Arabidopsis thaliana: one gene and its partner. The protein of the gene in region 1 interacts with the protein of each later gene in a pairwise test. Each region holds a gene or a part of one and is shown on either strand. Other genes may lie near its edges.

Region 1 (4,530 bases):
AGCCTGCAGGAAAATTTGCTCTAAACGGATGAAGATTTCAGTTTATTTCGGTTTACAAGTTAATAATAAGGTTATAACTTATAAAGATTCTCCTTTGTCAAAGTTACTGGTACTAGTTTTAAAAGGATGATTACATATACACCATAATAAACATATCAATATCATATTATTCATAGGAAAATCCAATCCACAGATGGAGCTGCAAAATAAAAAAAGGGGTCAAAAAAGACCAGACTAATCTAATCTGCCCAAACAACACACCACTCAGATTTGAACTTCCAAAACTATACATTTTCCAACTACTCACATATCATCATTTCTCTTAGATACCATCAACTTCATTGATACAATACCCCCATTACTGTACTTATTATGGGTATGCAAACCAAAACAAAAGAAAAAGAAGAAGAAGCAAAACTTCACAACTAAAGGATTCATGAGATCAGGCCGATACAGGTGCATTAGGGATAACCGATGATGTGGATGCAGCGACTTCAGTAGATTTTGATGTTGAAGGCCCTGACTCAGAGATATCCCCAATATCAAGTGTCTCTGGCAGGTTTTCTTCAGATTCAGTGCTGTATATCTATATAGAAAAAGAGTGATCAAAATCATCACTTAAGATCATTACATCAAACAAAAAATAAACGTGAGTAATGAATATACCTCAAGCTGATTCAGCATCTCAATGGTTGCTTCAAGATCACCGCCATTAGCGAGGTAAACATCAGTGATAGACTCTTGTGAGAGACCAGAGAAAGTGACAAGAAGGTATTCAATATCCATGTCTATATCCATCTCCAAATCCAAATCATCATCCCTGATCTGCTTATAAGCCATTTCAGAGGATTTCTTCGGCATTGACACTTCAACCGTGGGGGACTTTGCTGCAAACACCAAACCATCATCACCGCCACCATAATCCACTCTTTTGGAGATTGGTACATACGATGCTGCATGTGGATTCAATGCAAATGCTCCTGGCTTCATTGCTTTGTCTTGCTGATAAAGTTACTGCTAAATTTAGAAGTTAATTAAGAGTCAGAGACAGAAAAGAAATACAAAACAATGATATATTGATTAGAACCAAACATGTCGTATGCAGCAAAATCTAACAATCTCAAATTTGGTCTAACGAGGTATGATGAAACAACCTTTAATGATTTCAACAAAAAAAAATAAAAAGGATATGAAGAGACCTAACTCCTAAGCCAACGTTTCGATGGCGTAACACAGAGTATATAAGGAATCTAAAGGAAATAAATTGAAGATATTAAAATAAAGAAATGTGGTTACATTAGAATCTGGCTCGCGTTGTTACTGCATGGAAAAATCGATGTCGGAAAATACAGAAAACAGGGCAAAAGTAAAAGATTCTTGACAAAGAAGAAATGATGCGAAGAAGAGTGGATTATATGCAAAACAAAATGAAAAGAAGGAATAATGTTTGTTGACCTTGTCAACGATCGACGTAAAAGGAGAAGAAGAAACGAAACATTAGGAGAGAAGAAAATGAGCTTACCAAACAAAAACTAGCGTTGAAGATCGCTCGAATAAATTGTAGAGACAGAGACCTAAATGATGCGATTAATGTGGCAAACCCATGTATTTATGGAATTATTATCGTATAGGTTAGTGTCCGTTTACATGAAGGACACCAAACATCACGATGGGGTTCGTTTGGATACCCGGTTATATTTATCTTTAACCGGGATACTAATATACGTGATTGAAATTAATTCGGTTTAATAAACCGATTGATAACCACCGGTTTAAAAAGTATCAAAACGAAGGAGTGAATGGATGAGAGCTAAAGGGAAGAAGCAAAGTGAAGAAGCTCCAGAACACGCCATAGCTATGGCTCTTCTCTGTCCTTCTCTTCCCTCTCCGAATTCTCGTCTTTTCAGGTTAATTATCTTTTGTGATGTTTCTTGTGTGCTCGAGCCAGTGGCTTTTTCTGTAAGATGTTTTTGTGATTTCGGATGAGATTGTGTTCAGGTGCAGGAGCAGCAATATTTCGAGCAAGTATCATGGAGCCTCAAAGGAGCTGATGATTGCTCGTTCTGGTGTGTCTACGAGATCAATTTCTTCGGAAAAGGGGCTTTCTCGTAGGGATTTAGTGCTCATTGGTCTCTCTTCTCCGTTGTCTATGTTCTTGCCATTGTCTTCTCCAGGTAATGCTTTGCTTCTATTGTTCGTCTTTTAATATCTTGTAGATTCAATTAGATAGTTTCACTTCTACTTAAAAATCTTGCCTTTCATTGGTTAGTAGAGAGAAAGGAAGAAAATTGAGAATCTCTTACAGTGTTTAGTCCATTAATAATCATCTACTTTTTTTGGTTATGTAACGTTTACAGTTTTGTTATTGCAGTCACTCATGCAGAAGAAGACGTGAAAATGAGTGGAGAAGAATTGAAAATGGGTACAATGGTGGATGATATTAATGCTTATTCTTATGCTTACCCATTGGATTATCCATCTGAGAAGCTTGTCTTCAAATGGTATTGACTGAATCCTTTTGATGTAATGCTTCCTTTTAGTTCAAGCTGTATCTCACTCTTTTACATTTTGGTTATGCAGGGTTGAATCAAGAAAGCCTGAAAGATACTCTTCAGCTGCACCACTCTCTCGTAAGTTCTATGCTTCCTTTTGATTTTCATGAATTCTGGATGCATTAACTTGTTACTGAATCTGTTTCAACTGGTCCAGCTGATGCACGTTTACGGATTGTTTCTGAACGAGTTGACCTAACTGACAACCTCGTCATTTCTATTTCGGTAAGTTTCTGGTGTTGCCCATTTAGCATAAGACTGCTTTGCTTCTCTTTGCTATCTTTCTCGTGATATGTCTTTTACGGTTTTTGATTCAGATAGGTCCCCCAAACTCAAGATTAACATCAAAAGAAAAGAAAACATGGTCCGCTAAAGAAGTTGCTGATTCTGTTTTGTCTGATAAATCAGCATTGGTAACCCTTCTAACATGAAACACATCACAGTTACCAATTCTCCTTTTCTTAAACATTAAACAGATTGTTTAAATGAGCAGCGTGTCACCTCAAGTCAGCGTCTTGAAGAGAGTTCGGTTCTTGATGCTCATGCTAGTGATGTGAGTATGATCTTCCACAACAAATCATATAACAACGTAAAAAAAATTGAATCTACAAAGCTCACAAGTCTCATATGCTTACTATATGTAGATTGATGGGGAGCCTTACTGGTACTACGAGTACCTTGTCCGCAAATCACCAACCAAAATTGTAATGCTCTCTAACTCTGAGCAGATTCTTCTTGTTTAAAGACATAAGGAGATTGATTTTGATAGGACTTACTGGCTTTGCTATATGTGGGCAGGCTGAAGCATCAAAGCTTTACAGACACTATATTTCTTCAACAGCTGAACGTGATGGTAAAGAACTTTTCACAAGGGAATTGATTGAGATGCAAAGTTTAGAGTTTGTTTAGCCTGATGTAGAGTAACAACATTTACCTGAATCTCACTCATTGCAGGATACTTATACACCATAAATGCTTCAACCCTTGGCAAGCAGTGGGACAAGGTACAAAACCTGTAACCTCTACTTTCTGTACATCTATTGTATCAGTGTGAGGATGTCTGATTTTGAGGGTCTGTATAAAATGCAGATGGGACCGGTGTTAGAAAGAGCAGTAGGATCCTTTAGGCTTCTTCCTCCTACTGATAGTTATGTTCCTCCATACAAGGATCCATGGAGGTTTTGGTGATGCTTCCATCTGCCTCATGAAATTTCTTTTTTCGAAATTGTCGTTAATTTTGATAGGAGAGGAGGTTATGAAAGTTGTAGTGTGAGAAATGAGCCAAGCGAAGTGATTTTTCCAAATCCGAATATCTTGTTCACTATCAGATGTATTGAGATTGAGATATAACTAGCATTTTCTTTTAAACTCATCTCAACTGGTATCCACAGAGTTTTTGGCTCAGAATCAGATTTACTATCATATGAATATGATATACACAGGGAAAGAACAAAAAAGATGGAGTAACTTTCTTCTTCATAGTACCTCCTTTACTATCATAATACATTGACCACTGCCTCCTTAAGATTTTCAAGGTAGCATAAAAATTTAACAAATGAAAAAGAGGTAGCCAGAGGGGAGCCACATAAACCGGCTTCTACCCTTATATAAATTAAGATAATAATATCTGAATAGATGAACCATAATTATAAATATCCATAACAATAGCCATAGGACCAATCACCCACCAAAACCATGAGAGATGAGACCAAAAGTATTTTTTTTTTGTTAGGTAAGCAGAAGCACAAGCAATATACAAAAATGATCATCCATGGCCGCCTCAGTTTAAAGAAACCAACAGCTCTTTTTTCTTGAACAGATGATCAGCTCAAGCTTCTACTTTTCCTCTTTTCATGGACTCAAATCGATCATGGAAATGGTGGGAGTATTGGAATTAGCCCACGGTGAAGAACACACCGTTACTCTTCTTCTTAGACTCCTTGTCTGAAGACGAGACAGACTTGATTGCTTCTTCTTC
Region 2 (4,373 bases), on another chromosome or scaffold:
TACGAATTATATATTTAATTCATTTCTTCACAAAATAGGAAAGGGACATGAACACGAGTAGTTTCAGTCCTTTTGGAGGTGGTCAGAGATTGTGCCCTGGTCTCGATTTGGCTCGTCTTGAAACTTCAGTTTTTCTTCACCATCTTGTCACTCGCTTCAGGTAACTATCAGTTACATGGATACAAAATTATTTAATATTTGTTGTAATCTTTAAATTTCAAAACAAACAAGAGGGTGTGGTAATTAGTGCTCTACACTTTAGACAAAATGGTACGTTCGGACCAAATAAATCTAAATGTCTAATCTCTTTTTGACAAGTTGGACTTAACTCTTAAACGATATACAGAGACTTATTTGAAAATATGTTGGTGATTATGATATGCAGATGGATAGCAGAAGAAGACACAATCATAAACTTCCCAACGGTGCATATGAAGAACAAATTACCCATTTGGATCAAAAGAATATAAATCATTTTTCTTAAGTGAAAAATGGAGAATCAGTTTTGCATTATCAAACTCTAAAAGGTTAAAGAAGTCACACGAGTGTTTTGTAAGTGGGAAGTGAAAAAGATAGTGAGACAGCAAAAGGTAAGAAAAAAAGAGAACATGATGGAGTTTGGAGACAAAAAATGATTCACACGTGTGGAAGACGATAGCACACATGCCAACTATTTTGTCGTATTCCTTCACAAGGCAAATAAGGACAGAATCACAAAACCTTTTTGTTGACCGTATATATATATATATATATATATTTTTTTTTTGAAGTACAAAGGTGTATGATAATTATGCATATGATATAGAATCCTAATTTTCATGACTATTTCCTCTCTCTCTTTTTTTTTTTTAAATGTTAAGGACGACTATTCCTCTTCGTATATTAAATTATTAACTAAGAAAATCATTACAGAAAAGTTATAATTCTGGTTCAATCATTTATATATTTCCAAAAGAATGGTCTAATAAAGATATTATGATAGTCTACATCTATTTCAAGCAATTTTACAGTTTTTTTGCTAAATATGTTAATATCATTAATAATGAAGTTGTGGCGTTACAAAGAAAACCAGTACAAAAGCAACTTTGGCAAAAAAAGTAAAAACAAAGCTACAATAGATTTAGGAAATTTTTGAAGACATTAACGGATCCAGAGAAGCATTAGCTTACGCCAACGCTTCCTAAGCAATTTTACAGTTACTAGTTATTTTTTTAATTTTTAACTGGGTGATGGTTTTCTCTTTTCTGAATAGTCTCTAATAGTTTTAGATGTAATAATGAATGATTAAGCAAAGTCATATTATTTCTCCTCCACTTATATGATATGATGTAATTAACATAACAACCCACTGAAATTGATTTAAACAACGTGACAAGACAAGAAAGTTGTGTTGTTTCAACTGAACATCACTAACAACCAGATCTAACCACTAATTGTACTATATTACATTTTTCTCACTATTGTAACTACGAGTTGTTTATGTTAACACAATAGCCTTTAGAATTGATTTGGATAAGAGGGCTTCACTTTTAAGAGATCCATCCGTTAAGCCTGTTAAAGGCCCAAAAGTTGCATAATAGAAAAGCCTATATATTGGCAAAGACGGGCAACTGTTTAGGCAAATAGGTATTTCTTATGTTATCGCCGCCGTTGAGCCTTTTCTTGTTTTTATTCCCTATTTTGAGTTTTTCAAGACCTTGATTTTCATTTATTGTTAGTTATTTCTCGTTTGGCTGATGATAAGTCCAGCCCGAAATTCCGTTGTTATAGCTTTTTTTTGGTGAAGTTTGCATGGCCATGGAGAACACTAACTTTTTTTTTCATGTAAGTAGACAATTTCAGAGATACTAATCCAAGAGATGGCGGATACGTTTTACAATCACGAATCTTGTATGATCACTAACCATTGGAACAATAAGAGTATATAATGAGTATATCACCATTTAGTTCTAGTGGGTGGTGATCATATAAGATTGGTAATGGTAACAGTGAAACATATCCCCCATCTATTGGGATTAATTAGTCTCCCTGAACAGTCGTGAGAGAACCTTTGTTTGCTGCGGCAGACACTAGAGACTGTTGGAAGACCTTGAGATATACAAAAATGTAGAATTATTTTGAAAATAGGTGATGTGGATCTGGTACTACTTGATTTACATATATGTATTTGCTTCTCTGCTTACTTGTAACGAAAGCTACATTATATAATATACCTTTGATTTAAGCAATCTTGTTGAATAGGTTTCTCTGGTTCTTATGGAGAAAAACTTAAGATTTTTGTAATCCATCATACATTTTGGTATAGTTTTGATCTTATATGTATTGTGCTTTGACACAAGCTAACTATTTTCTTGTTTCACAGAGCGGGATCAATTCTAAAGCAGCCATGAGTCTGGCTCGCTAAAGAAGCCTATCGATGTGGATCGTCCAATGGAGAGAGAGCATGTGACATGAAACCTTCGTTGTATTGGGCCAATATCTTTTGTAATTGGGCTGACTAAAAATCATGATAAAGTCCGAGGGAGACTATAAATAATTTACTCATTGTTCCTGCCGACATTACACGTGGCGAAAGAGTAGTTATATGCCAGAGAGACTCCTCTAAAATGGGGTCACGTGTAGCCTGTATCGACTATTCAATAATGCCACTCTCGCTCGGTGACACCGTGTCTCTTACTTTATCATTAGTCTTTCAAATTAACTATATAGTCCTTCAACATGTAGTAATTCATCTACTTATAAATTGCTGTTACCCAAATCTCGAGTATCTAAAACTTATACTTTTCAGACATTGACCAAGTAGTGAATCAAATCCTCACGTTACACTATATTGTAATCTTTTTAAAACACGATCTAATTAAATTTTGTTTTATTTCATAAACATAGATTAGTTTAGAAAACGCCATATGCAAATGTGTATCACCTAATTCTTGGGACCTTTCAGAATTCATATATACACATAACAAACAGTCTTTTCATTTACTTTCTCTATTCAATCTCACACGCGCTAAACCATAACCCGATATTACTAATGACGAACTACGGTGCGATTCCGACGTCGTCTCATGCATCTCCGTTGGTGGATGTCGAGTCTCTCTCACGCGCTAAACACCGTATCAAAGCCGGGCTAGCCACGCGCCGTGCTTGGAGAGTGATGTTCGATTTCCACTCCATGGGACTGCCTCACGGTGTCTCCGATGCGTTCACAAGAATCAAGACCAATCTTGCTTACTTCCGTATGAACTACGCAATCGTTGTCTTGATCGTTATCTTCTTCAGCTTGATCTGGCATCCGACATCGCTCATCGTCTTCACCGTCTTGGTCGTTGTTTGGATCTTTCTGTATTTTCTCCGTGATGAGCCTATCAAGCTGTTCCGGTTTCAGATCGATGATCGGACGGTCTTGATTGTTTTATCGGTGTTAACCGTCGTTTTACTCCTGTTGACCAACGCGACGTTTAATATTGTTGGAGCGCTTGTGACCGGAGCTGTGTTGGTTTTGATCCATTCGGTGGTTAGGAAGACGGAGGATCTTTTCTTGGATGAAGAAGCGGCGACGACTGAGACTTCTGGGCTGACGTCATACCCGTCGACTTAAATCGTTTCATCTCGAAATTTGTGTATCTTTTCTATTTTTGTATATTATCTTGTTTTTTTAATTATGCGTAATCAATTTTTATTGGTGTGAGTTTGGTTTGAGACTTTCTCTCTCTCTTTTGTTTTCTGAGTTTTGAGCTCTGTCTGAAGTTTGAACAATTCTAATTTGTTATAATTTTTATTACTCCCTCTGTCCATAAAAGATAAATTTTTTAGGAAAAATATTTGTCTTACAAAGATAGAAATTTTATATTTGCAATGCAAATTTTAAAATTGTTTTCCCGTTTTACCCTTACTAAATAATTAGATAAATATTTATTATTATTTTTAAAATATATTAAGAGGTTAAAATTATGTTTATACAATATTTCTTAAAAAATGTGCAATTTCTAAAAAATTCATCTTAGTGGGACGGAGGGAGTATTTTATATTCGCAAAACTCAGGAATAATTTCTTGGAATGATTTATTAATCTGAAATATTTAAAATGATTTAATCTGAAATACATAATAAATAATCAAATTAATAAGTCAAACATTATAAATTCAAAATGGGTTGTAATGAATATTCCCTTTTTGCATTCCGTAACAAAAAAATAATCAATTTTTGTTGTAAAGTTTATTCAGGTTGGTTCACCTTCAAAGTAGGAAAAAAAGTTTGGTCTTGATTTAAGTTCTTTTTTCATTTGGGTCACACAAATGAGCAATTTGAAGCAAAAATCCTTGATATATATGCAGGCCTTATTCAAATTTCCAATGTAAAGATTTGAAGCAAAAA

Evidence for each region.
Region 2: the proteins of PPD5 (region 1) and PRA8 interact in a two-hybrid assay, tested with the Arabidopsis thaliana proteins (one large-scale study listed by BioGRID).

What each region holds. Positions count from the first base shown.
Region 1 is NC_003076.8:3,652,618-3,657,147, forward strand, and holds PPD5 (PsbP domain protein (Mog1/PsbP/DUF1795-like photosystem II reaction center PsbP family protein)), read left to right. Parts: upstream 1-1,774; 5' UTR 1,775-1,803; coding exon 1,804-1,907; intron 1,908-1,998; coding exon 1,999-2,174; intron 2,175-2,371; coding exon 2,372-2,501; intron 2,502-2,580; coding exon 2,581-2,630; intron 2,631-2,709; coding exon 2,710-2,777; intron 2,778-2,869; coding exon 2,870-2,965; intron 2,966-3,045; coding exon 3,046-3,105; intron 3,106-3,196; coding exon 3,197-3,256; intron 3,257-3,350; coding exon 3,351-3,405; intron 3,406-3,506; coding exon 3,507-3,556; intron 3,557-3,641; coding exon 3,642-3,740; 3' UTR 3,741-4,030; downstream 4,031-4,530. Other genes in the region: CID5 (CTC-interacting domain 5), read right to left, coding at 443-586, 667-990; AT5G11460 (hypothetical protein (DUF581)), read right to left, coding at 4,447-4,530. UniProt on the Arabidopsis thaliana protein: Involved in strigolactone biosynthesis.
Region 2 is NC_003074.8:4,494,427-4,498,799, reverse strand, and holds PRA8 (PRA1 (Prenylated rab acceptor) family protein), read left to right. Parts: upstream 1-1,999; 5' UTR 2,000-3,031; coding exon 3,032-3,598; 3' UTR 3,599-3,821; downstream 3,822-4,373. Other genes in the region: CYP90D1 (cytochrome P450, family 90, subfamily D, polypeptide 1), read left to right, coding at 39-160, 386-470. UniProt on the Arabidopsis thaliana protein: May be involved in both secretory and endocytic intracellular trafficking in the endosomal/prevacuolar compartments.